Oryzias latipes: one gene and its partners. The protein of the gene in region 1 purifies or fractionates together with the protein of each later gene. This does not show direct contact. Links are inferred from orthologs where the notes say so. Each region holds a gene or a part of one and is shown on either strand. Other genes may lie near its edges. The genes, in order: rb1, kdm5a, hdac3, arid4a, nucleophosmin, e2f4 and e2f3.

The links.
Region 2: the proteins of rb1 (region 1) and kdm5a purify together in Homo sapiens (affinity purification with western blotting; 4 studies listed by BioGRID and IntAct, with this or other methods). This does not show direct contact. The link is inferred for Oryzias latipes from reciprocal best matches to the Homo sapiens genes RB1 and KDM5A.
Region 3: the proteins of rb1 (region 1) and hdac3 purify together in Homo sapiens (affinity purification with western blotting; 3 studies listed by BioGRID). This does not show direct contact. The link is inferred for Oryzias latipes from reciprocal best matches to the Homo sapiens genes RB1 and HDAC3.
Region 4: the proteins of rb1 (region 1) and arid4a purify together in Homo sapiens (affinity purification with western blotting; 3 studies listed by BioGRID). This does not show direct contact. The link is inferred for Oryzias latipes from reciprocal best matches to the Homo sapiens genes RB1 and ARID4A.
Region 5: the proteins of rb1 (region 1) and nucleophosmin purify together in Homo sapiens (affinity purification with western blotting; 3 studies listed by BioGRID and IntAct, with this or other methods). This does not show direct contact. The link is inferred for Oryzias latipes from reciprocal best matches to the Homo sapiens genes RB1 and NPM1.
Region 6: the proteins of rb1 (region 1) and e2f4 purify together in Homo sapiens (affinity purification with western blotting; 10 studies listed by BioGRID and IntAct, with this or other methods). This does not show direct contact. The link is inferred for Oryzias latipes from reciprocal best matches to the Homo sapiens genes RB1 and E2F4.
Region 7: the proteins of rb1 (region 1) and e2f3 purify together in Homo sapiens (affinity purification with western blotting; 9 studies listed by BioGRID and IntAct, with this or other methods). This does not show direct contact. The link is inferred for Oryzias latipes from reciprocal best matches to the Homo sapiens genes RB1 and E2F3.

Annotation. Positions count from the first base shown.
Region 1 is NC_019872.2:15,916,388-15,919,887, reverse strand, and holds part of rb1 (retinoblastoma-associated protein), read left to right. Parts: exon of another isoform or gene 1-113; intron 114-1,734; coding exon 1,735-1,850; intron 1,851-2,031; coding exon 2,032-2,186; intron 2,187-3,368; coding exon 3,369-3,500. UniProt on the Homo sapiens protein: Tumor suppressor that is a key regulator of the G1/S transition of the cell cycle. The hypophosphorylated form binds transcription regulators of the E2F family, preventing transcription of E2F-responsive genes.
Region 2 is NC_019881.2:6,893,977-6,896,930, forward strand, and holds part of kdm5a (lysine-specific demethylase 5A), read left to right. Parts: coding exon 1-109; intron 110-1,436; coding exon 1,437-1,565; intron 1,566-1,652; coding exon 1,653-1,800; intron 1,801-1,889; coding exon 1,890-2,110; intron 2,111-2,356; coding exon 2,357-2,833; intron 2,834-2,954. UniProt on the Homo sapiens protein: Histone demethylase that specifically demethylates 'Lys-4' of histone H3, thereby playing a central role in histone code. Does not demethylate histone H3 'Lys-9', H3 'Lys-27', H3 'Lys-36', H3 'Lys-79' or H4 'Lys-20'.
Region 3 is NC_019868.2:25,322,757-25,326,990, forward strand, and holds the start of hdac3 (histone deacetylase 3), read right to left. Parts: upstream 2,801-4,234; 5' UTR 2,667-2,800; coding exon 2,612-2,666; intron 1,707-2,611; coding exon 1,624-1,706; intron 1,537-1,623; coding exon 1,394-1,536; intron 1,300-1,393; coding exon 1,218-1,299; intron 1-1,217. UniProt on the Homo sapiens protein: Histone deacetylase that catalyzes the deacetylation of lysine residues on the N-terminal part of the core histones (H2A, H2B, H3 and H4), and some other non-histone substrates.
Region 4 is NC_019880.2:2,469,968-2,473,961, reverse strand, and holds the start of arid4a (AT-rich interactive domain-containing protein 4A), read right to left. Parts: upstream 2,801-3,994; 5' UTR 2,452-2,800; intron 2,421-2,451; exon of another isoform or gene 1,627-2,420; intron 1,618-1,626; exon of another isoform or gene 1,514-1,617; 5' UTR 1,465-1,513; coding exon 1,459-1,464; intron 359-1,458; coding exon 248-358; intron 1-247.
Region 5 is NC_019872.2:18,726,462-18,729,672, reverse strand, and holds the end of nucleophosmin, read right to left. Parts: coding exon 3,169-3,211; intron 1,948-3,168; coding exon 1,896-1,947; intron 1,815-1,895; coding exon 1,734-1,814; intron 1,646-1,733; coding exon 1,538-1,645; intron 1,453-1,537; coding exon 1,378-1,452; intron 1,267-1,377; coding exon 1,216-1,266; 3' UTR 501-1,215; downstream 1-500. UniProt on the Homo sapiens protein: Involved in diverse cellular processes such as ribosome biogenesis, centrosome duplication, protein chaperoning, histone assembly, cell proliferation, and regulation of tumor suppressors p53/TP53 and ARF.
Region 6 is NC_019864.2:28,153,448-28,157,702, forward strand, and holds the start of e2f4 (transcription factor E2F4), read right to left. Parts: upstream 2,801-4,255; 5' UTR 2,721-2,800; coding exon 2,556-2,720; intron 1-2,555. UniProt on the Homo sapiens protein: Transcription activator that binds DNA cooperatively with DP proteins through the E2 recognition site, 5'-TTTC[CG]CGC-3' found in the promoter region of a number of genes whose products are involved in cell cycle regulation or in DNA replication.
Region 7 is NC_019874.2:11,042,039-11,046,094, reverse strand, and holds the start of e2f3 (transcription factor E2F3), read right to left. Parts: upstream 2,801-4,056; 5' UTR 2,461-2,800; coding exon 2,179-2,460; intron 2,141-2,178; exon of another isoform or gene 1,866-2,140; coding exon of another isoform or gene 1,854-1,865; intron 128-1,853; coding exon 7-127; intron 1-6.

The DNA of each region.
Region 1 (3,500 bases):
TTTTCTCTTGACTCCAAACAGAAAAATAGCTGATCTTGTTGTTTGCGTATCAGTTCAACAGCTCTGTGGATACGTCGCAGGTGTCGGTCTGTTCCTGTTATAGAGTATTAGCTGCCTCGCAGCTGCATGGAAGTCAAAGGTAGAGACACAAAGGGCTCAGTGGACTGTTGAAATATGGGGAGGAGTCTGCCTGTGGACTTAAGTTCTCCCCCTACTGTTCACTTTTACTTTCACATGAGATAAAAGTTATACATCTCTATCCAAATCAAAATAATTAATAAAAATGTCAATATCTGTCAGTTTTAACCTTTAGATTTAAACGTAAAGTTGTCTTACTATGACTTTCAATTCTATACGCGAATGTTTCATGAGACATTCAAGATTTGTATCTCATTTGACTGTCAAACAATAAAGGAACTGCTGCAGGACATTGATAGATATTATATCTTTACAGTGCAAGTAATGTCCTAAGTTGTTGCCAAACATTTGAAAAAGTAAATTTGTAACTTTTGAAATGTTTCTGGCGTCAGCAGGGTGTAGCTTGTCATTAGGAATGCACTGTACTCATACTGCTTGTACTCAATCGTGTCTGTACCTGCAGCTGCTGAGGTCATAATATGTAATAAAACACCAGCCCTACCCCCATCTGTGAGCTCAGGCTTTTGTCAGTTTACAGATTTCATAACTAAGTTAATACAAACTTTTTAAATCAATTGCTTGATTTTTTTTGTCATAAAAAACAGCAAACAACAGTTGTAAACAAACCACATTTTGGGAGTGTCCAACATGTGGTTTTATCTACTGTACTTTGTGTTTTATCTGGCCTGTTTTGCTAGTGAAATGAGATGTTCACATGTTGTACTTTCTGTGTGTCACTGTTTGTTCTTCTTTTTGAGGTACAACAAAGAACACCATTCAAGATTTACCTCAAAATCAGAATTTCTTTAATTCAAAGTTAAAGTCTCTTCTTATTTTTTGCAGCACAGCGATTTCTTTGTGCAAATATACATTTTTTAGAGAAAATTTGAATGCAATTATTTTACTAGGGCACATTTATTTTTATTTTTGTTATTAGCATTTAATATCGTTTCAGAAACCAAAATAAACTTTGAGTTTGAAACAGACTGGTAGTTATTACAGGTGTGTATCTCTGATCGCATTTTTCTTGTTTGTCAGTTTGTAGTTATTTCATAACTCCCCTGCCTGATGCCGATCCTTTAAATCTTGATACGTGTTTATGAAAGGAGACTTTACTTCATCTGTTTTGGGTTCTCAGCAAATAAAAAAAAATGTTATACTTCTTTTAAGAGTGCGTTTCATACTATTTTAAAAAATAACTTGTTCTAAAGTTTATATACATCTGCACATCAATCTATCAGTATAAAACACAAATCAAATCAGATAACAAGAATGATCAAAAGAACATTTACAAAATAGAGCCAGAAAGAACCTGATAATCTATTTCAGTAAAGATCACTTTTATCATAGAACTATGTATTTTTGAATCTATTCTTACAGCCTTGAATATTACTGATAGCCATAAGTTATGTGAGTGACCATGACTTGAACATGAATGATGACCAAAAAAACTATAATTCCTTTTTTAGCTGATTAAATGTATCGTTTTAACCTGTATTTTAATGTCTTTGTGTGCATTTCATAACACTGTGCGGTATTTTCATTCTGGTTGAGGTGAAGTTTATGATAAAGACTTAAATGATTCTGTTTTTGTAGGGCTCCCCTTTGTTTGAGCTGCTGAAGCGGGAAAATGAAGCTGGAGCCACAGAACAGGCCGAGCCCCCGGCGAGTTTCAGCTTACCTCTGCAACACAACCACACGGCAGCTGACCTGTGAGCCAATCTTTCCCTCAGCTCACACGGAACTGTTCTAAACCTGAAATATATGTTACTGTTATGAATGAGGACAAATCGTCAGTTCATTTGTCTTGGTTTAAATGCATGACTCAACACGGGGCCTCCTTACTTGTGGTGGAAATGACGCATGCTTCTTTGGCTTCTTCTCCATCTACAGATATCTATCCCCAATTCGCCCAGGTCTCCGTGTCTTGCCTCCTGAATCACCAGCCACGCCCAGCTCTCAGGCTTCCTCTCAGCCGACACCTCAGGCAGCAGGCCAAGCTCCACGGCAACCAAAGTCTAACTCTCTGAGCCTCTTCTATAAAAAATGTAAGATGTTTCTGTGATTATTTCCTTGATGTCAGTTTAACAAGAGCTATTGGTGCTGGTGGATATTGGTGACAACAAGTGAGACTTGGCTTGGCTGTAGTAAGGCTTCATCGTCCATCAGAAGAACAGCTCATGTGAGATGTTTTAAAAAAATAAAAGGTTTTGGACACATTGAGAGTAGGGACAGTGGTTATGCTGGTAAAAGGCTGCTTAACACCAACAAAGAGACCTAGAGGAAGACCAAATAGGAGTTTCATGGTTTTAATAAGGAAGTTTATGTGAACGAGGAAGAAACAAAGAAGAGGGTTAGATGGAGGTGAATGATTCACTGTGTAACTCCTAAAGGGAACAGCTAAAAAAAACAAAGAACGTGTCTGTAAGGAGTCATTGAATGAATGAGTTAAGCTTTATTTATATATCTCTTCACAACGCCTTCAGGGTATGAAAGTGTTTTACAATAAGAGACCACAGAACATTTGAAATTAACTTAACTCTTAGTACAACAGATTTATTGTCCAATCAGAGACAGACATCCATCTACATAATCTAAGAAGATGTTAAAGTTCCACTTTGATCGTATTTTTATCTAATGTAAAAACCTATCCTGTGTGTCCAGCCGTAGTTCTGAGCCACATACCAGCTCAGACAAGGAAAAGGAAGATGTTTTTGGATCTCTTTGTCTATAAGTGGATGAATCAGAATAGAACAGAGCAGGGAGCTTGTGTCCGCCCAGTGTATTTTCTATGTAACAAATACGATCTTTTTCAAACAGCATTTTTTTCATCTGCTCCTGATTCACAACAGCTTGAATAGAGATATACTCAGAAAATGAATTTTAAGCTAAATTTTCTTCACATGTCCTCCATCATCAGAATTATGTCACAAGATCATGTTAAAAACACCCAAAACACCATTTTCATCAGTGTGGGTTCTTGTTGAGTCCCTAACATCCTTTAAGCTACAGTTCTATATTACCTATTTTGTTTTAGCTTACTCACTTTTTGTAGTTCAAGGCTTTTATTAGTTTACCTGGAATTGGATGAATCATACATCTAACTTCCTGTTAGAATTTTGTTTTTTGTTTCATTTACAAATAACTTTTTATTTTCCTTATTTTTAAACTAGTTTGAATTGGGTCGTCCACTGGTAAAACGGAAAGTTCCTCTTTTTCTATTTCTATAGTGTATCGACTGGCATATACGAGGCTGAAGACTCTTTGTTCCTGCCTGCTTTCCAACCACCCGGACCTGGAGCACGTTATATGGACTCTGTTCCAGCACACGCTGCAATATGAGTATGATCTAATGAGGGACC
Region 2 (2,954 bases), on another chromosome or scaffold:
GAAGTTGTCCGTCCTCAGCCAGCGGATGGTGGAGCAGGCAGCGCGCGAAAAAACGGAGAAGATCATCAACGCCGAGCTGCAAAAAGCTGCCGCCAACCCAGACCTGCAGGTGGCGCACATATGCCCATTTCTACTAGTTTGAGCCAACTATAATTCTAGTCTTAAAAAAAATGTTTTGTGTGAAATTTAAAGAGCCACTCCGCCCATCTTTTGAAAACGAATTTTGAATGCAGAAGCCCGAAATGCACATTTATGCACGTTTACGCAGACTTTTCATTACAAGTGGCTGCTTGAACAGGCGTCTCCAATGACGGTCTGAACACAGCCCAGGAAATTTGCCTCTGAGCTGTGAGCAAGACCGTTGCGGTGGAGCCAATACACGAAACATTGCTGAGAGATCTTTGTTTACTGTCTTTCCCACTAGCTTACAGCCCTTCACATGTCCAACCTAACATTACCGGTGCAACAAAAATGGCAAGCAATGTTAGAGCTATCCAGCTATACAGGTTTAAACTAGGGGTGCCAAATGTATCACTGCTGAAAAACAATGTTCGGCGTGTGGCGCAATCACCATGCATCGGCGATCTGCCCCCTACTTGCAGTTCCGGCTGCGTGGAAATATTTCAAGTATTTCCAGAGCTAAATTGTCAGAAGGGGTTCATGGGCCAAAGCCTTCACCACATCTGCATTAACTGGGCTAAAAGGAAGGCTAGCGGTGCTAGCGGAACTCCTTCAGTGTCCCACGTGTTTGAAAAGCTGAAAGAATTTGCAGGAAATTGATGTTTTGTGTGAAGACATAGCCTTATATTAATAAAATACACTAGTGCACTCACTGGAAAGACTTGGATAATAAAATATAAAATAAACATTTGTTTTATTTGAAAATGTTGTGTAAAATGTATTCTAGGCTATTTCTGCAATATTAAACAAAAAAAACTCAACATCCTCATTTGATATTCGGTCACTATTCAGTATTCAGCCCAGCGTTTTAATTATTGTTGGGCTTCGGCCAAAAATGTTCGCTTCGCTGCGTCCCTATTTTGTGCCAGATACCCGTTCGGACCAGGAGAATGGGGACGCACATGGATCTAGTGGATGCAAGTGGTGCTTTGGAATGGAACGAGAGATTTGTGGCCGTCATGAGAAAAACACAACAAGAACATGTTAAAAAAAACAAAACAATTTTCATTGGAGTGGATCTTTAACGACTGAATGTTTTTCTGGAAACAACCAGTAGAGGTCACTGGAGTTCAGTCATTTTAGTGGAAAAAAGAAGAACTGGATATTCTTTATTCTTTGTCCAGTCGCCATTTAAAACTTCTTTGATGGTTTCTGTACGTTTTAGGGCGTTTTCCTTCAATTCCTGGTTCCAGTCGAAATCTCTGCAGGTCGTCATTGGAATGTTTGACACGTTCCTGTCTGTGTGTTCTCCTCAGGGCCACATCCAAACCTTCCAGCAGTCCGGCTTCAGCAGAGCCACGTCTCCTCGTCCTTCCGTGGACTACGATGACGAGGAGACGGACTCCGACGAGGACATCAGGGAAACGTACGGTTATGACGTGAAGGTGCGAGATCTGAAGGAGCATTGAACAAACTCCCCTGTTTGTTTTGTTTTTTTAATTCATCTGGTGACGTGGGGGGTGTTTGTGCAGGACCCTGGGGAGGTGAAGCCATATCTGTTCTGTGACGAGGAGATCCCTGTCAAGTCAGAGGAGGTGGTCAGTTACATGTGGCCAGCTGCGACTCCTTCCTTCTGCGCTGAGCACGCGTATTCATCCGCCTCAAAGTCCTGTGTGCAAAGTGAGACCACATCTAATCCTTTCAAGGTGAAAAAATGACCCCCTCAGTTCTTTTTCTCTGATAACGTCAACTATTTATATTTTTGCTAGACGTCAGTACTCCCAGAAAGCAGCCGAGGAAGACCCCTCTGGTACCCCGGACTCTGGAGCCACCAGTTCTGGAGCTGTCCCCGCAGGCTAAGGCCCAGCTGGAGGAGCTGATGATGCTGGGAGACCTGCTGGAGGTGTCCCTGGATGAGACCCAGCACATCTGGAGGATCCTGCAGGCCACGCACCCTCCCTCTGAGGAGAGATTCCTGCAGGTCATGGAGGTATGGAGGTCGTCCGTTATGCAACGTTTATGTCGCCGCTTGTTTTCAGTCGTTCAAGACGCACTGTTCAGAGGACTGTATCGAAATATTAAGAAATATAAAGATTTACTTACTTGTCATTGTCAATAATGAGCAACGAAATCGCGTTTAGAGCATCAACAATTACCCTAATAAATAACCAAAGTGCAACATCAGTACAAAAACACAGCAAAAAGATCACTTTATTTGTTTTCTATGCTTTTTCAGCCCGACAACTTGCTGTTGGAAAAACCTCTGAAAATCAAACACAAAGATTCCGAGAAGAAACGGAAGCGGAAGCTGGAAAGAGCCGAGCACCATCACATGCTGATGGCCGCCGCCGCCGCCGCTGGCGGAGCCTCCGCTTTGTCTGAAATCAGGCCATCCAAGCCCAAAGAGCTGAAAAGAGTCGGTCTGGAACTCGGTCTGGGCATCAAACCGAAAAAGAAGAAGCTGAAACTCGGCCTGGAAAAAAACCGGGAGGTGAAGCAGCTGGCCAAGCGCCTGGCCAAGGAGGAGAAGGAAAGGAAGCGAAAGGAGAAGGCGGCTGCAAAGGCCGAATCCATCAGGGAGGGTCTGGACCAAAGGAAGGTGAAGAAGATCCTGGATATTCCCTCCAAGTACGATTGGTCGGGGGCTGAGGACTCGAATGACGAAAACGCCGTGTGTGCTGCTAAGAACTGCCAGAGACCATGTAAAGACAAGGTGAGGACATCCCTGAGTATGATCAGCAAAACAAAGAGAACGCCGGAGTTATCGCCAAACGAGCAGAATAACTCGCACTCTTGGAACGACTATAACTCTGCGACCATTTACAACCTGAACG
Region 3 (4,234 bases), on another chromosome or scaffold:
TAAAAATGTTTTTATTTTTATTCTGTTGCAGTTTCAATAATTATAAATAAAAGGTAAATGACACTCCAATGATTCCAGGTTTTTCAATAAAGTACATCTTTCGTCTTTTTACTGTCTCAGATGAAAGGAAACGAGCGGCTGGAGTCACCGTTTTAAACTTTTAATTCCAATAAAGAAGCCCTGTTTACACAGAAAACAGCTACGAAATGTAGGACTTTCTTTTTAGACAGAAATAAAGAAAATGATTTAGAAATGTCTTCCAAGATGTCTATAAAAGGTTGGCATTGAAAGCTGCTTTGCTGCTGCTTTTCAGTCCAAACCAGCTTAATGTTCCGAATCAGAACCAAACAGTGAAGGACCATGTTTTACTATAAAGCAGCTCAAAACTGGATCAGCTGTCCTGATGATGACAAACGTCTACTCAATGATATTGTTTTCTGTATGTATATCTGTGGATTGATATACATCCATGGATGTCTGTGGTGACAGTCGGATAACTCCTCACTTTCACACATTTGCACACTAGGAGAATAAATCCAGTTTTATAGAATGCAAACAAAGATCTGATGATGATTTGGCACAGAGGAGATTGATTGACAAGGTCAACAGCGAATCAGGACGCAGAACACAATGTGCTGTTAAAAAATGAGATCGCCACAAATGAAGACAAATGCAAATTTCCAAACATTTCCAGCTTCATGCTGACAACTTTGGCTGTTTTTTCCCCAAACATTTGCTGAAACTATTTTTTTAAGACGCAGCTTGAAAATAACATTGTTTTTTTTTATATTTTTAAGAACTGAAGCTGCTATGTTTGTTACAAACTCCAGAATATTTAACTATTAACTCTATTAATGCTGCAAAAACATGTAAAAAAAACCAAACATTTAGCTTATTTGTGACCTTCCTGTGAGTAACGATGTTTGATAAATAATAAGCAAACCATTTTCTTTTTTAAATGATTGCGTTGAATGTGGCTGAAGGTTCTCGTTTATCCGGGTGACGCAGTTTGGAATATTTCCTCGGTCTAATAGAGAAATCGTTCAGTATGATGATCGATTGTGGTGTAAAAAATCTGCAGCCCTTTATGATCATGTAAACATTTAAAGTCTGACCCTGTGAATAATTCCTAAATGGAGCTGAATATCCGTTACTAGAGGAGTCCATGAGTGACGGTTCATGACAAACCCAGTGATGGAGAAAAGCGGACGGCTTACCTTGTGGTTGAGCTGCGTGGCGCCCTGCAGAGACGCCCCCGTGTATCTGGAACAGAACTCAAAGAGTCCTGGAAACACAGGACTAGAGCCCGCCGTTGGGTTAGTGCTCACATTTGCATGAACCAAAAGCAGAAGACAGATCGATGAAGAGGAGGAGCAGCAGCAGCAGCGCTCACCAGTCATCTCCAACGTTGAAGGTGTTCAGGCTCTTGGTGAAGCCCTGCATGTTGTTGGGGCTGACCTTCTGCAGGAAGTCGATGTAATCTTCAGAGTGGAACCGGCACATGTCGTGCTGAGAGGCTTTGTACGGCTTAAAAACCTGACGGTCACAGAGAAACTGCAGAGTTCAATCTTTGATCTCGAAGCAACAGTGGAAGCAGGTTCTGGACCTTCAGGAGTGTCTCACCATCATCTTTTTATATAACCCATAATGCAACACCAGACTGTGGGTGAGAGACAAACGGTGAGGCTTCATGGGATGACCGGCACCTGCAGGAGACGCGGTTCACAACAAGCATCATCACTTTTTCATCATCAGCTCCATTTCAACATGATTACACTTCCAACGCGTTTTCACGACCAACAGGAAAGAAGATTAAAAAAAATGCTGCAGAATCCCTCCATTTAGTTTGAATCTGCTGCAGCTGTCGGTTCTGTAAATGTTTGTTTGTTGTTGTCTTTTCTTTTTAGACCTATAAAAACCAGAGAAACCACGATCACACTCTGTCAACAATCGTTTTGTCAATCAGAGGCCGTGAATGCTTTGGGACAAACACTTGTTTTAGATTTTGGTCTCCATTTTTATCCTGCAGTGATCAGCTCTTTGTGGACTCACAGCAGCTTTGAACTGAGCTCACACTAATAAAAAAACCAAATCAATGATAATCCCAAACTGTTCAGAGATTATAAACAGCTGGAAGTGATTAAGACCTAAAAGTTTTCATGATAACAGAAACGGGTAAGGACATAATTAATTATTATTAACCTTTCTATTACCTAAATCTAGAATCAGTACTCCTCAGCTTAATTGGTATATAGTATAATAGCCCATTCCTGTATAGAATACAAATTGCAAATATGTTGCCTGGAAATAACCAACTCAGTCAGGGTTTAAAAACACCAACAGATAACCCTAAGTATCTACATACACTCCTGCCGTGGGCAGGATCGCTACAATATTCTTTTCCTTTGCACCCAAATGTGACGTTATGTGTTCATTACTCACCTACAACACACTGGCCTGAACATATGAATGAGATAAAAAAAAATATCTTAATTAAACCCAGAAACAAAATTGGAGCTGAATTTTAACAATGAATCGTTTGAATTGTTAGCCTCCTCCAGCTAGCTTGCATTAGCACTCCTGCTCCAATCCCAGCGTTCAGCAAACTCACCGTAATGAAAGTTTCCCACATCTGGGTCGTAAAAGTAAGACGTCCTAATAGACATTTTAAATGTAAAAAAAATAATAATAATCCTGAGATTCAGCGAGGTTTTACTTTTTAAAGAGCGGCTCAGTCTGCCGCATTTTTCCTGCCGCTAACGGCTAACCGTAAACATTTAAAGGTGACGTCATCATGCTGGGACGCAGGGGATGGAGAGGGGAGGGGCGAACAGGGGGTCTCAAGATGGCGGAGTGAGTTTAAACCAATGAGTGATGATCACTAGAGGAAACATCACGTGGTTCCTCATGGGAGGAGAGCACCGCCATCTTGGTGAGGTCAAGTTACTGCTGCAGTGAATGCATTTGAACACATTTTTTGCATAATACCAGTTCATTGTTTGTGTTTCAACTGCCAAAATCAGAGAACTGAGTCCATGAAAGAAGAAGTATATCATTTCATAGAAAAGTATTATAATTTTTTTCTTTTGTTTCTTTCTTTTTCTTTTGTTTTTCTTTTATTAATAGAACACATGTTGACATGCATGATGCTGCAGGGTTATTATCAACATGCTGCATGATGTACGGAGAATTTGCTGTCGACATAAATGTACATTTTATTTTGCTAAACCTGTATACAGCATACTAGGCTATTATAGTAATATAGATTTATACATGTCTGACTCAGTGACCGAACTTTTCACTATTCACTATTCAGACTTAAGGAAAAAGTGGATCTTAGCAATAAAAAGAGCTAACCCAGATGGATCACTGTGGTACCAACTAGTAATACAGTCTGACTGTTCAAAACATTTGTGGAAACCAATTTAGATAAGAGGCCAGACTGTTAGCTTGAAACCTGACACCATACCATCTGTGTTACACAAATTGATCACTCACATGAATCTATTATTTTTCTTTGTTGTTGTTATTTTAGGGTAAATCTATTGTTCACTTTTGGAATTCTTTTGAATATTTATTTTATTATTATTATTATTATTATTATTATTATTATTATTATTATTATTATTATTATTAATAATAATAATAATAATAATAATAATAATAATAATAATAATAATAATAGACTTATATTTTATTATTTATTGACTTATTATGTATGTATTGCTATTATTTATTGTTTGTATTGACTTACTATTGATTTATTATTATTATTATTATTATTATTATTATTATTATTATTATTATTGAGTTATTGTTGGGTTTTTCTAAATAATTTAAATTACATGTCAAAGAGGTCTAAAATTCCTAAATGTTTACAAATTATTTTTTTTTAATTCTTTGTAATAATTTTTTTATTTGTAAGAAGTCCTGCAACAATGCATTTTCATTAAAGTTTGAGCTTTTAAGGCTGACTGTTTCTCTTCTTTAACAACAACAAATGATGTATCTATATATATATATATATTATATATATAAATATAATGTATTTACATATATTTATAAATATATATAAATTGTAAAAACATATATAGTATATAAAAGCTACTTAGACACCTCTAAAAGCAATAGAAATCATTGTCATGTGGGCGTCGTCGACCTCACCAAGATGGCGTCGCGCTCCGCCACCGTCGGCCAGGCTTCTAAAGCGGGCATGTCTCCTCTAGTGATATAA
Region 4 (3,994 bases), on another chromosome or scaffold:
CAAAAACAAACCTCACTTGAAGACTTTCAGTAGCAATAACCGTTTGTGTTAATGAGGTAAAATGTCACACTTTGTGTGTCCAAGTGGCTGTATGTACTTTACTGTGACTAATCGACAGGAAGTGATCAGCTGGTGTGATTGCATAAGCTGTGGTTTGATCCCGTTTCCTGGGCCGTCGTCATCCTGCGGATGCACAATCACACACACACATCCAGCTCACGCGCACACCTGCCCCCTCAGGTCTTACCTTGACCTTCACCATGCGCTTCACGGTCTTGATTTTGGCTTCACAGAACGCTCCTCTGTACTTGGCGCTGACATCTGTGCCGACTGTCAGGTAGGCAGGCTCGTCCGCTGCCTGAAACACAACACAGGCCTGCTCTCAAACAGAGTCCATAGCAAAAGATGGAACTTCATTTTAACAGGAGGAGAAAAAAAATCCAGCTTCGATGAATTTATATTTCATTTAAGTTCAGTAAACTGGCAGGCGAGGGTGGACTGCAGCCCGTTCAGCTCTGCATGTGCACGGCACCATCTGTGCCGTGATGGAGGACATCTTCAGACATCCGACTGCTGCTGCGGTCAGAAGGGAAGCAACCCGGAGCTCCTGAGACTCATTTTTACCATCAGGACTTTAGGACACCAACAGGAAACTCTCATTGCTGTTGAGACACAGCCGGTTAATAAGTATTGTGGTCTGTCTGAACTGCAGCGCTCCATTTCTCCGTTCTTACGCCACTTTGAGAGCGTCTGAATCCGACAACGTGTCCAAAGCATTTCTGCCGTCGGTTGGCCGATGTTTGGGTTCTCTCACTGACCCAAGGTCCAGATCGGCGGCCTCATGATCGAGCCGAAGAAGCAGTCGTCTCCCTGACTCAGAGAGCAAAGTGTAGCTGGAGAACTTCTACAGGGAGACCCACACTTCTGCAGTGACAACACTTCCAGACCCGAGTACCGTCCAAACATTTACGTTTGTGCCTAGAACTGATGCGATATACATCCGAGCATCGGGCCGACGAACACCAGATTCTACAGATAATCTGAATAAATCCATTTGACAGATTCGGTTTTCCTCCTTCAACGGATAAATACGTTTTTCTAGAATCCTGTCACAAATCCTCTTTGATCAACGGTGTTTGTAAAAGTGCCTTTTTCTTAAAGATAAAACAACTGATTTCTGTTTCTATTTTTGGACTTTAGGAGCAGATCCAAAATGACAGACGACTTTCTGACTGACTGACCTTTAAGCGTCTGGAGAAACTGCTTTACGGGCTAATTAACACACGGTTCCGTTTCAGATACCGAAAATAACGCCAAAGTTCTGAACCTGGACTGGGATCGGAGCAGAACCGATGTGAACGGCCCGGTGTGAACAGCCATAACAAGCCGGTTCCACCATGATGGACGGGCTCAAAGAAGAGTGGACGCGGGCGCCGTCTTCTTCAGGAAAACACTCACCTTCATCTCTCCGTCCGGGTTTTACTGGGAGTCCAGCTCGAAGGGCTTACGATCTCTGGAAGACAAAAAGCAAAGCGGGAGGTGAGGCGCTGGGGCTGCTGGGAGCCGAACGGCGGCGGGGGCTGGGTCGAACCGGAGCCGCGTAAAAGCTAACAACTAGCCACGCACTAGCTGAAGCGTTCTCCTGCCCCGCTGCTGCTCCTCCCCTCCCCTCCCTCCTGGATCTGGGCAAAATATGTGACACAAACTTAGCCAACAACAGCGTCCGCCAAATGTAAGCTCCGAATCCCCGCCGGTTCCAGACCGACGGTACTAGAGGATAGAAAAAAAAAGCCCCGCGGAGGGCAGTCCCTTCACTTCCCGCTCCGCTCCCACAGCCGCCGAGTCACGTCGCCATGATCACGGCTCGCCATGTCAGTCGAGTTAGCTCGGCTAACTTTACCACGTCCCATGCTAGGGGGAGAGAAAAAAAAGCCGCCTTTTGGACGACACGAGGGCGGACGGGCTTCTGCGACACGACAGAATCCCGACACGGAAACAGAAAAGTGCGAACCGCGCGCGAGCTTCGTCTCTCTCGACTCGTTCGCGGCGACATCGAGCTATTTTAGCTAACAAGCGTCTCAACTAGCTAGTTAGTGATCACACGGTGATTTAAACTGTCTGCCACTAGCAGACAAGCCTCCGCCAACTGCTACGCATCGCTTTTGTTCCGAATATGAGAGGCGGTTCGGTCCGAAAAGCCGCGATTCGGTGTCATCGGACGGAGCGGGAGCTGCGCGAACTTATTTATTTAATAAGCGGCTCTTCTGCCTTCCACAAAGGCGCAGAAGCTCCACATTTCTTCACTGCCATTCAGTTCCCAGGCAGCCTCCGTACAGCGGCCAGCCCCACTCTCAACTGACACCCGCGCGCCCCTCTTCTTCCCGCTCTCCGACACACTTTACGCAGTAAAAAAAACGGTGTTGATCGGTTAATAGGAATATTCGTTCTTACATTCACTGCCGCGAATTCTTCCCCTCTCGCTCGAGCTGCAAAACGATACACGAACAACAAGCTGTTGAGCCCCGAGCTGGCTTTCTGGACACGTGATTGGCTGCGCTGACAGCGGGAGTGACAACGGAGACATTTCATTGGTGGGTGCGTTCTCTCGTTTCCATTGGCTGTTTCCATGCTCTGCTGCTATTGGTCCATACGAACACGGCGCCACGAGAGAAAATACTGCAACGCTTTGCCGGCTGTCCAGTCACAGCAAAAGTGACACGTGAAGGGAGGGGGTGAGGAAGAAACGGGAGAGATTCCTATTGGCTGTCCGCTGTTTGTTCCCGCAGCGCTACGTTCCTATTGGCTGAAGCGGCTTCCTTCTTTGTACCGACAGGACAGGAAGCCCAGCCCCCCCCCCCCCCCCCGCTACGTGCTAGAAACCTTCGAACCAAACACAAAACCTTCGACACGAACACGTTTTTTCCCCCCCGTGCTCGTGCTCTGAACTTGAAGGACAATCCCGTCGGTGTCGCAGACGCGCGTGCGCCTAGAAGCCAGGAGTCGATACCGTGTTTACCGTGATTCACACGCTGCAAAACATTCGCTTCACGCAAAGACTCGCTTTGCCGCCATCAACCACCTATTTTACCGAGTCACATGATCAACTCGATGATGGCTGGACGCGTTTTTATTAAAAGGTCGCCTGATATTTCAGTTTCGTTGTTTTTTCCCCTGTCGTGGTCCGTCAAAACATTTAACCGCGAGGACGTTGAAGAGTATGGCAAGCCAAAGAGACAAAAAGTCGTCAGGAATTCTTCCAGTATCGCTGTCTGTAAACTCCACAATTTTTGTCAATTAACTCTATTTTTTGTTTTAAACAATTGACACAGCAGACTATCTGACCTCTATAGAATATTCAGATGTTTCCTTGTATTGATTTTAGACCGTCATTTATACTTACCTTCCAGCAAAACAGGATAAAAACTTCAATCTACTGACAGACATTAAACAAAACAGCAAGTTGTATTCAAAGATGCTATGAGTCGTACCTAACATTTTTTAAGAAAACTACCATTGAGTGTAGCTGAGAACTGGACTGAGCAACGGCACCCATAAAAAAATAGTTTAGTACCAAATGAAGTCGATTCAGTCGCCATTTCTTTGCGGTATGGACGCCGTCATGTTGGAGCCAGGCATCAGTAGCCGCGGTTTTGTGTGCAAAATATCTTTGATTGGATCAAAGATGGGATTAGAATTGAACTGTGTACATAACAAACGTTTAAGGTTAGGGTTACGCCACCTTTTCGGTCAGAATAATTCATTTTTACACGCGCAGAACTCTCTAAAATACCGGAAACGTTTGAATGCCCCACGATCAGATCAACAATTGTCATTTTAAGTTTTACGGTTTTTTTGCTCTCCATTGCCCGATGTTACACACGTGACGGCGAGCGTCGCTGACAGACGTGACATTGTTTTGCTGTCAAATCAGTTTGGCGCTAGAAGCCACAGAACGTCACACGGCGTGGGCTGGCTCGCCGTCTCTGTGTGCGTA
Region 5 (3,211 bases), about 2.8 Mb from region 1:
AAATAAAATGCCAACAACATATATGGCTGGTTTAAATTTAAAAAAAAAAAAAAAAAAGCAAACTTATACAAATGAGACATCAGATTGGAATGAACTGCTTTTCCAGTTTTAGAATAACAATCTTATAAATGAAAAATTGATTATTTGGAAATGCCCAGTCTCTGAACTCCCAACAACAATCGTGTTTCCACTTGTAAAGAAGCAGAGAAAGGAAGCCAGTTAAAAACATTTCCTCATAAAGCGCATGTGACCGTTGACTGTACCGGCACTCCCTGCTTTAGGGTAAAATGTCCTCCCACACATTTCAGGTTTTCACTAAAAGCCACCAACACTTGAGCACAGACCACTACGTCACAGTGGATTCTGCATTCAGAGGGATCCGTCTGCTCTTTTGTGACCCATTTCAAGAGCTTTGTAAGCTCAAAGCGCCCTCTAGTGGTTTAACACAAGCCCACAATGTAAAGTTTCAAATCTTTACAAAGGACAACAAAACAAAAAGGTATTGAGGAAATTTTATTGGTAAATTAACGCAAAACAAAGAGGAATTTACTTGAAAACAAAGCATAGTTCTAAAAAGTGAATTAATTCACCAGCATAAACTTTGAGATGTTTTTTCACCTTTTTTAATAAAGCGGAAATGATAATTCCATCAGTATTCAGTCGACATAGAATGGTCCTCGTCCACAGGCCTCATGCACCGACAGGAACTGCAAACTGAAGACTGCGGGATACGCTTAACCTTGAGGGGGGACGGCTCATTCTTAGAATCATTACACAAAACTTGCATCCTCATGCATGAAGTCCTCACAAACTTCACTATAAACCTTTGGACTGTGGGGCCAACTGTTGCCATAGCAACACACTGTAGGACTAAAAACAGGTGTTGATGCCTAATCCAACACGCTTTATTTTGTAGACAAAAAGAAACTTAAAAGGTAAATGAAGAAAGAAAGGGTGTGGTCAGGGGCTTACAGCTGACAACCAAAGGAATGAATTTACCCAAAACTTGCATTTCCATTATATTGCATTCCCTTGTTATTTCTTTATTAAGTCAAATGCTGTTTTTTTTTCTTTTAACAAGATGGAGATGTCAGATGAAGTCTTCACAGACGGACGGGTGGAGGAAAACTTTAGGTGAGGCACAGACTGAATTCAACGGGATTGCGAGGCGTTACAGACATTAACAAGTTATAAAATAGTTAAAACTCTAGTGGGCTATTTCTCCTCCTTGATCGTCTGTCTCCACTTCCACAGCTCTGAAATCACCTGCAGGGAAGAAATAAGATCCAGCTGTTAAGATTGTAAACATTTTTTTTAATCTTGTAGTGATTTCTTTTCAACTCCAGACAGGAAAACCCAGATTCTAGACCCTGTTACCTTAGCATCTGTGACATTTTGTCCATGCTTCATGAAGTTTTCAAACTTGGCCTGGACTTTAGGAAGCGCCACGCCCTGCAAACGTACACAACAAAAGTCAAACTTCCCCCACAAACTGAAGCGTCTTCCATAAAGGTTCCATGGAGCAGACTCCGCCCACCTTCTTTACAGACTCCATAATCTTGGCCTTGATCTCAGGCAGAGTTAGGTTTGGTTTAGGAGTCTGGGCTTTAGGTGATTTAGCACCTTTGCCTTTAGGCGTCTTGTCCTGGATGTGAAAAAAAAGGTGAGTAAAAGGTTAGCAGCTTTAGCCCCCCGCAGAGCACCTATTGCTGGAGGAAGGACTCTGTCATCACCTGCTTGGTCGCAGGAGTGGAGGGCGCAGAACTCTTTCCGTTTTGAGTCTGGGCCTTCTGCTTGTTTGGAGTTTGTTTGACCTGCAAAGAAACCAGTCAATAAATAAAACATATTTAACAGTAGAGACAAAGATATAACCAAGGATGCAGAAGCTGCTTTACCTTAACAGGAGATTCCTCTGCCTCACTCTCCTCATCATCTTCATCATCATCCCTACAAAGAAAAATTTTAAGAAGGAAGAGTTTAATACCACGGAAAATACCAATTATTTTTACAATTACTTTGTAAAATAGATCCCTGAATCATTGTTTAACATATTTTGTTTCTTGCTCGATTTCCAGGCTCTTATTTTTGGTTGAACGTTCTCTGGGTGTTTAATCATGCGTCTAAATTATATCTGGGTTATCTTAAGGATTATGCCTCATTTAACAATAATTACATGTAATATATAAATGCAAACATATGGCTGCAGCGCCCTCTGCTGGTGAACAGATGGAAAGAAGTAAACACCTCATTCCATTAGATGAGCAGGTAAACTACCCATTTATTAAAAACAAAGCTTTAAAAGATATATATACATTGTAATTTTGTTTTAACTATAGTGAACAATTTACTTTTATATCTGTATATATGTGAAAATATATATATATATATATATATATTTCCTCAAATATCACAAATTGTCATGAATTATGGGATGTCATACACAGCCTGCTAGCACTGTGGGGAAGACACACTGGAACGTGTGAAATCTAAAGTTTTGACATTTCCCCCACAAATGAAAAGTGTTAGTTAGGAAACTCTTAAAAGGACTGTGCGCTTTCTAACTCTTACAGGATCATTATTTAGGTGTTGTGTCTTCATTCATCTACTGGAACTGTCAGTAAAACTTTAATGGTCAGAAGGTGTAAACATTTTCAGGATTTGATACAGAATTATCCAAAACAGTGATGTTTATGCGCTGCTTACTTCTGAAGTTAACCAGGAAGTTGACAAAAAGAAAACTTTGGCGTTTAGAGTGATAAAAATCATTTATTTTTTTCTCATTTATTGATTCTTATCTGCCGTTTTAAATAAAAAAAGTACCGTTTACATGATTTTAAATGCATACTTTAATGTTCTTACATCCAGTAAATAGACGTGTGCAAACGGTAAAATGTTTATTGTAGTTTGATCTGATAATCGTGGATCTGGATTCATGAATTGGATTTCCACCGAATTAACAGCTTAAGTTGATCACATGCAGTATTCTCCACAGTCTGATATGTTAAAAGGAAAAAAGTCAAATTTCTAAATATGAATGTAGTTTTGGGAATGACCTCAGAGACAAACACCTGATCCAGGACCCGCCACTTTGGGCCCAAACACCATTTGGATTTCTGACAACACCAAGACACAAAAGAAAACATTTGCCGTCAGAATGTTAATACTCACTCATCATCATCCTCATCGTCTTCATCTTCATCATCATCCAAGT
Region 6 (4,255 bases), on another chromosome or scaffold:
AAGTCAGTTGGAAAGAAAAAGAAAAAAAATGTGTGCACGTGCGTGGAGTGTTTTATCTGCGAGGTGCAGCGCAGCTTAGAGTATCAGCAGACACTATATCAACCCAGTCACACAAGAAGGAAATGATCAGGAAGACAGACTCAAAAAGAGAAGAAGCAGAACTCTTCATACATAATGTAATGCCTGAATGGTCAAAATGACAGTTAAGAAAATAACAAAACAGAATCAGTGTGTTGTAATTTAAATGATTTTAGACTCAAGTGTCTCTCTTCTATGACTGTTATAGAAAAATATGTACATTAGGGGGGAAACAATCAATCCACTTATTTGATAAATTGATTTATATTACTACGATCCAACCAAATAAATCTGTCTGAGGCAAGTTGCTGATCCAAGCGACCTATACCATTAAAAAAAAATCCTTTCAAAATGTAATAAATTAGTTATATTGGAAAATACCATTTGGATTGAGGCACGTTAGGTTTATTTACTATAATGTAAAATCGACCATCACAGCAGACAACACACAAGTGATATCAGCAAAAACTGATCAACCGTCATTCCAGTCCAGTTTGTGGAAAAACTTTGAATTTAGCAAAGACATGGTCCCATCCAGTGGGCTAGAATGTTCTAAGAATGTTACATTTTTTAGGGTGTATTGATCCTTTTGAACAATTCGGTTAATATAATAATTTGTGGTTGACAATACGATTTATAGTAGATATTTGTTCATTTTGAACGATCCGATTCACTGACCTAAAATAGATCCAGGACATTTTTAGCCAAAACATCAATCAGTGGGACTCAGAGAGAAATACCTGGTACTGAACAGCACAGCGGAGGTTTTCCAGATTCCTTGCAAAATAACCAAGCGTAAATTAAATAAGTGTACAAACACACAAACAAGAATGAATGGCAAATCTAGACACAATAAATCACTAATTTATCGTTATCATGATATGATATATCATGCAAAAGTCTGCAAAAATTGCAATAAATCGTAACCTTAAGAGTGCTAAAACAATCTCATAGCAGCTTGAAGTATTTAATGAATCAAATAAATTCATTTAAACATTTGACCAATCAGATGGAGCCTTTCACGTGGTTGACCAATGGGATGGAGCTCTTTTATGTTGGCCTCCTATGTAGACGAGGGGCAACTCTTATTTAAATTAAAACTGTTGCAGTGAAATGGAAATTATGGTTTTGATCGTTTTGCTATTTGTTCATGTATCGCAAGTTATATCCTCATCGCAATGTTTATCACTAATATCGCATACCGCGAGTTTTCCTCATTATATCGTGCAGCCCTAGTCAAATCCATTCACATTTTTGGTTTCATCAAGTTGCGACATATGACCACACTGTATGGTCAAAAATTATGTTTCCACACATCGAGCCGTAATGATGGTTGGTCATGCTTTGCTGCCGTCACATGCGTGTTGTCTACTGTGATGCACTCGGTTATTTTTACAGTTATGGTCAAATAAACCTTCAGAACCTCAATCCAAATGGTGTTTTCCTATATCCATATAATTGATTTATTTCATTTTGAAAGGATTTTATAATAATAAAACACGTTGACTCAATTAACAACTTGCTTCAGGTCAATCTGGTTGGATCGCAGCAATATAAATCGATTTACTGATTATTCGTAACAACCCTATCTATGGCAAAAGTGGGCTGAACTTTGACACTAAAATGGGAATTACTTGTTTGTTTGTTAAGCCATTTTATTTACATTTACAAGAAATACAAGTGACACTGTTCAGTACCCATTTATTTATCTCTGAGTCCCACTGATTGATGTTTTGGCTAAAGATGTCCCGGACTATAAATCATGTCGTGAAGCACAAATTATAAAGTGGATCAAATTGTTCAAATAAATCGTAACACCCCTAATGTAAAAATATGAAAAGTGCAAACGTTATATATTTTTTTGTATTTGTAGAAAACTATTTGAGCTTTTACATCAAACAATGTGGGACTTTAGCAGAATCCCAATAGTAAACATTCCTGCATTAAAGCTAGTGATGGAAATGTGGAAATGTGGCCCCTGTACTGTGAAAAACAAAGCTAGCCTAATTTAATCAACATCTGTGCGAGTACTACTTCACGCTTTGAGTCATTTCTGAAAAGCAACATTATAAACGCATGTCGTTCGTGGACAAAGACGCAATCAATCATAAAACAAACTTGCTCAAGTGTGAAGGTGCAGTGGCTTTAACTGAGAGTAGAATGACAAAAGCTGACCCACTTTCTAAACTTTGAATCTGCAGGGGGGCAGAGAGTCGAAAAAAGTTGACCGGTGTTCTTGAAATTCACTTCGTTTCTTCACTCAGAAAGGCAAAAATCTGCACCATAAAATATTAAATGTGATTTTAATTGTAAAAGTGGTGAACTAAAACAACAAACTTAGAAGGCAAAGCTATCTTTCATTCAAATTAGCCTGTCACACAGCTAAGCTAGGCTAGCATGCTAGCTAGATACCATGTAACTTAACGACTGCGGGCTGGCTCAAAGTGACATGTGCTAGCTAACAACAAAGAGCTCACAGCTTTCAGATCCAGGACTCCGTCCTTCGCCTCTTGTAATAAAGTGACGAACTTCGTCGTGAGCAAGCCCAGGCTCTTCTCGTGCCTGCTCGGCGTCTGCGGTTGCAGCGAGTCTCCCACGGTTCCCGGGTCGCCTCTGTTACTGGCCGTCTCCAGCTCCATCATTGCTCCGGATCAGCTCCGTACTTCCCCTCTTCTCTTGCCTGCTTTCCGACTAAATCCAGCCAGCGAGCCCAAGAAAGAAAGCTCCACCGCCGCAGTTCGAAACACACACGCGTGGATGGTGTGGTGCAAATTTACGAGTCAATACTAGCTGCTTTTCTGAAAATAACTGAGCAAAATCGAGCTGAAGCAGCGAGTATGGAAATTCAATGAAGGAGCAGTCGGTGGAGAGCCGTTGGCCACGCGAGGTATGACGGGACGGTGCTTTCGTTTTAGGGACCGTGTGCAAATGTTCATGAAAAAATAAAACCACGTAAAAAATACATTTGCTAGCACGAACATGTATTTCTAGTGATTTATTTTTAATGTAACATTGAAAAAAGTATGAAAAAAGACGGTTAGTAGTTTTTCTATTGCGATTTTAGGGGAAGTATTGGTTGCAAGAATTTTTGGTAGAGGAGAAAGTTTAACTCGAACTCTTAGCAACTTAAACTTGAAGAAAACGCACTTCCACGCGCGCACACGCAGGCACCGTTCTTCAAATGAATATTTGAAAATTATTTTCCCCTCTAAAGCTTTTCTTCCAAACCACATTGTCATTGACTGAAACATTTTCAAGGTTGCAAAGCAGTGCGAATTAGTGTACTGTGTAAACATTGGTTTGTAAATTAAATATTTTGAATTTAACTATTTGAGTTCAGTATTGCATCCTAACGACTTTATTTTTTTTAACCACAAAAATGTTACCACATAATTTAAGTTTAAAAGTTATTATAGGGGTGTAACGATTAATCGACTTAATCAGTGAAACAATTTTATATTTCTACATATTTTCTAGGGCAGTTGTTAATCTATTATCTATTCAAACTATTATAAAATCTTTTCAAAATTAAATAAATCGAAAATGTCAAGATTGGAAAATAGCATTTGGAGACATGGTAGGTTTATTTTACCGTAACATAAAAGCGACCAAGTGCATCACAGCAGACAACACATATGTGGTGGCAGCCAAAAAATAAAAAAGAATGTTACAGTCCAATGTGTGGAAACACTTTGAATTGTGTAAAGACATGTGGTCATGTGTTACAACTTTATGAAACCAAAATTTGAATGGATTTTCTTTTAATTTTTGTTTACTTGTTTATGTGTACACATCAACTCTACACTTGCCAGAAGTATCAGAGTACCAGAGTCACACTGGTTTAAAAGTTTTGGCTAAAAATGTCCTGGCTGGATTTTAGGTCAGTGATTGAACTGGATCGTTCAAAATGAACCAATATTGGCTATTAATTGTATCAGGAACAGCAAATCATGATATAAATTGATTTGTTGTTAAAATGAACCGCTACACCCTGAACTACATATCTTTAAGTTTATAAGTTACTTGATGCAGTAAAATTTTTTAATTTAACTACAAGATGTTAGAAATGTGCATGTCTTTCACAACCTCACCTTGCAGAGTTTGGCTGTTCTCCCCAGGTTTAAGCGTCCATCACAGCTGTTCCTGACTCAGTCCTTGACCAGGTTTCAATCTATGT
Region 7 (4,056 bases), on another chromosome or scaffold:
CCTTACTTCTGGGTGTCTTTATGCGCGTCCCGTTGGCCGCTGGGCCCCCCCCTCTGCTGCGTGGCGTTCTGGCTGGTTCTAACTGGTACTGGTGGTCTGATTCATCAAGAGCCAACCGCCTCTTTGCCTGGAGGAAAAGGGTTATAAGAAAATATGGTTTTCTGACAGATGCTGGTAGTTTCATCTCCAGGGTTGCTCAGCTCAGTTTGAAGCTGAATTGTCAGACGATTCCCAAAACATTAGTACTATTACTTACATCAGGTTAGGGGAGGGGCTCGCCCCCACCCCTGAAACCAACTGCTATGAACAGAGGTGCAGAGGCAGCATCTGGACGGAAATTTACCCCAAAGCGTGTGGGCAGCTGTGGCTCAGAACGGACATATGACATTCTGAACATCAGCAGGTTCTTTGGGATATGTGTGTAACCATATTCTAAAAAAATCTAAACAAATGTATGATCTATGCATCCAGATTGTGTGAAAGACCACAAAAATGCACAAGTCTGAAAATCAGAGCGGGACGGCCATCATTTCACCTCAAACTTCATGACCAGTTGGCGTTCAAGCAGCTTTAAAACAAGACACCGTCATGATGGTCTCCGAGGGAAAAGAACCGTAAATAAAATAAAGAAAAAAAAAAGAAATACAGGATATCCCGATTCAAAAACTCCAAAATAAATGTTATAAAACATTGTAATGGCACACTTAAGTCATTGTTAAAGACCCCACTCCTATGAACTCGTGTTTTTAGCAGCATTTAAACGCATTATTTACACACAAATCTGGAGACGTCAACAGGGTCTCAAATCTGATGTGTGTGTGAATGTGGTTTTGTGTGTGTGTGTGTGTGTGTCAGGCGATTGGTCCGTACCATTTCATTAGATTAGGCTGCAGTAGTTTCCAGGTGCGTGTGCAGAAACTGTAATTACTTTTTGTAAGTTTTTAATATTCAATTTTACACACAATTGCAAGTACGCACAAAATGTATTGTATGAGTTACAAATAAAAAGAAATCAAATCAAGTGAGACTTTATTGTCTTCATGGTAACCATCCATAATAGAGCGACTATAAAGAGCAGAGTTGCTGCTTTCCTGTTTCCTGAACCTACAAACCCAACTAGAATCTATGGAGTTGGACCCAGAAACCATCAGTTTTCTGTGTTGGGGTCTTTAATATGATTCAAACAAATGAATCTAGGGGATGATTCCTCCTCAGAGGACAGAGAAGATGCATCTTCCACTAAACTTGCAATGGCATATAATTTATCCTTCAAAGTGTCAGCCATTTTAAAAAAATCAGCAGGAGTCTGTCTGGCTGCTCGTGGCTTCAGTCTGAGGTGCAGCCTGCTGGGGGGGGGGGGTTCGTGAAATGTGGAGAACACAGAAACCCAAATGTTTTCTGAACTCGTTTATCTGCGGTTCATGCATGTATGTAGAGAGAAGAACACATGAAACGTGCAGTTAGTTCCAAAGCAACAAGCTCGGGTTTCACTTCTCCTTCACTTGAAAGGAACTAAAATGTCACTTAAGTCACAGAGGACGTCAAAACCAGACGACAAAATAAAGGGGGGGAAAGGCAAGCAATGAGTTATTTTTGACAAAAATTTAATTTTATGGCGCTACTAGCTTGGAAAGCTAATATTTCTATAAGTTGGTTTGCCCACTTGGAGGAATCTATTGAGTAGTTTCGAAACAAAGCAGCTGCATTAGCTCAAATTTAGGAAGGTTCCCCTCCTCTTATGTCGGTAGAAAGCTACGAAAAGGGCCGAAAAACTCAACAACCAAGGTCTCCAATCCCACATAAAGACACCAACAGCAGCTACTAGGCCAGCGCTACCGTTACTCATCTCTTACCAGTACTTCCATCTGGCTGCAAAGGTGAAGAGGACCCTGAGCTGGGTGAAGTTAGCGAGTCTTATCTTAGAAGGCAGGGGGGCATTTCTGTACACGCAAAACTAGCTAAAGCTGGCGTTTTGCCCCCAGAAAGTTGACGAAAAGACTCTAAATCAGCCTGTTTGGGTAACTTAAGCTAGCGGTAGTTAGTTAGCTACATCGCTAGTCGTGGGATTGCCCTGGCTAAGCAGCTAACGTTAGCTGTCTAACAACAAGCTCGGCTAGCTAGCGAGCTAACATTTGTCGTACTTATGTTGGGTTCGTGAAAAATGTTGAGTGTTATTACCGGTGGTCTCCCCAGAGCGGGTCGTTGTCCTGCTCCGTTCGCCGCCGCTTGTTGTGGAGTTGTGTAAATGTTGTTGACCTGAGCCTCGGATAAACACACATTTGATGTCTGTGTAATATTGCAAGGCGGTGGTGTGGTTATTATTTGGATATACGTAGCGTTAGATTGACCGGGGTTCAAACGATCCGCGAGAGCTGTTAAAATTATATTACTGTCCAGAGGAGAACCCCCGACCTCTGCTAAAATCACTTTGTCCGGAGCCGAGGAGATCCCTCTTCTCATCTTGCGTATTCAGGGTAACCCCTCTCTTGTCTCTCAACTTTTAAGCCCGTGCGGCCGCTAATCCGTCGCAATGATTTCAAAAATAATCAGCCCAAAGTGTAGATAAACGTCTGAATGATCGACTTTTAAAAGTAAATTTTCCTTAAGAAGGTGCATTTAGGCAGATGCATCGGATTTAAAAGTAGCGCAACTCTCGTTTCCACCGACTAGAAATGGCTTCAGGAAACGGCCTGATGAATGAAGGGATACGGTTTACGCGCTCAAGAGCCCTCCCGCGAAACTCAGATTTCCCGGGGAATTTTCAAACTAAATTTACATGTCCGTCGCCATTGAGCCTTAGCTCAGGAGTTCCCGCCCACATCCCGACCGAACCGGCCAATTGGAGGACAGAGTTCGTCTCGCCACGTGCTCATTGGCAGTTGTAAACATGTGGCGTCACTTGTCACGCCTTGCATGCTGCAGATGTAAACGCCAGGTGGCGCCAGCAACACATTTTCCTCCAAACAGTAAGGCTGTTCGAAACGGAACGAAACAATTCAAAAATATGAATGCCAATGTAAAGAAAGCAGGTAATAGATTTGTTAATAACCATAAAAATCATTTTAATTCTTTGTTATTAAACGACAAAGATATTTATGTGTATTTTGGCGCTTAAAGTTAGAAGTGATTAAAAGTTGGGTAATAAGTTTAACCTTTATTTAAGAGTGAATAAAACTGCATGCATTTTCAATCTTACATTTCAATATATTCAATTCAATGGTGCAATATTTGAAACATTTTTTACTATGTCCATAGTAAAATCACAAAGAGACACCCTAAAAAATGCTATAAACTGCTTCTTCTCATGTAGAAAGAAAAAAACAACAATCACAATTATGTACAACATTAAAAACCACTGTGACACCAGCTTTTGGTTGATGTCATTTGGATATGGAAATGGTGTATAACAAAAATCAAAACAAAAATAAACCTAAAGACGACAATCAACAGAAATATATAACTACATAATACAAAGATAAGCCAATATCAAACTGGATAATTTGTCATGAAATGATTGAAAAATAGACACACATACATCCACATACACCTGTAAATAATGCAGTTATATTTACAATGAATCCTAAACAGTCCTAAATGCTCTTAGACCTACAGTACATCACACATTGAAACCATTAAATATTAAAATTGTCCAAACGAATTTAATTGTTTGAAAGTGTCAGGAACTGGTGATGGAGGACCCAAAATGCAAGAGACCAGGCTTGGTGACAGAAAATAAAACATTTAATAAACAAACTGAAAATTGACAAAACCCACGGCGCAACAAAAAGGTGACCTGACAAGGCAGAACTTGTAACCATGCACTTAAATAGGCTGAGGGCAATTAACTAAAATCACGACATCTATGGATCATGATGGACGAGGAACTGGTGTGACTGAGGGCATCTCAGAACCTGACCAAAAGTCACAAAAACCAAACAAAACCACAGAATCCTTACAGAAAAGGAGCGAGGCAACCCGATATAATCCCACCCTTATTATATTTTTCTGAACCTTTTATTTTAATTTTAAACATTAACTGTCATCATCCAGTTCCTA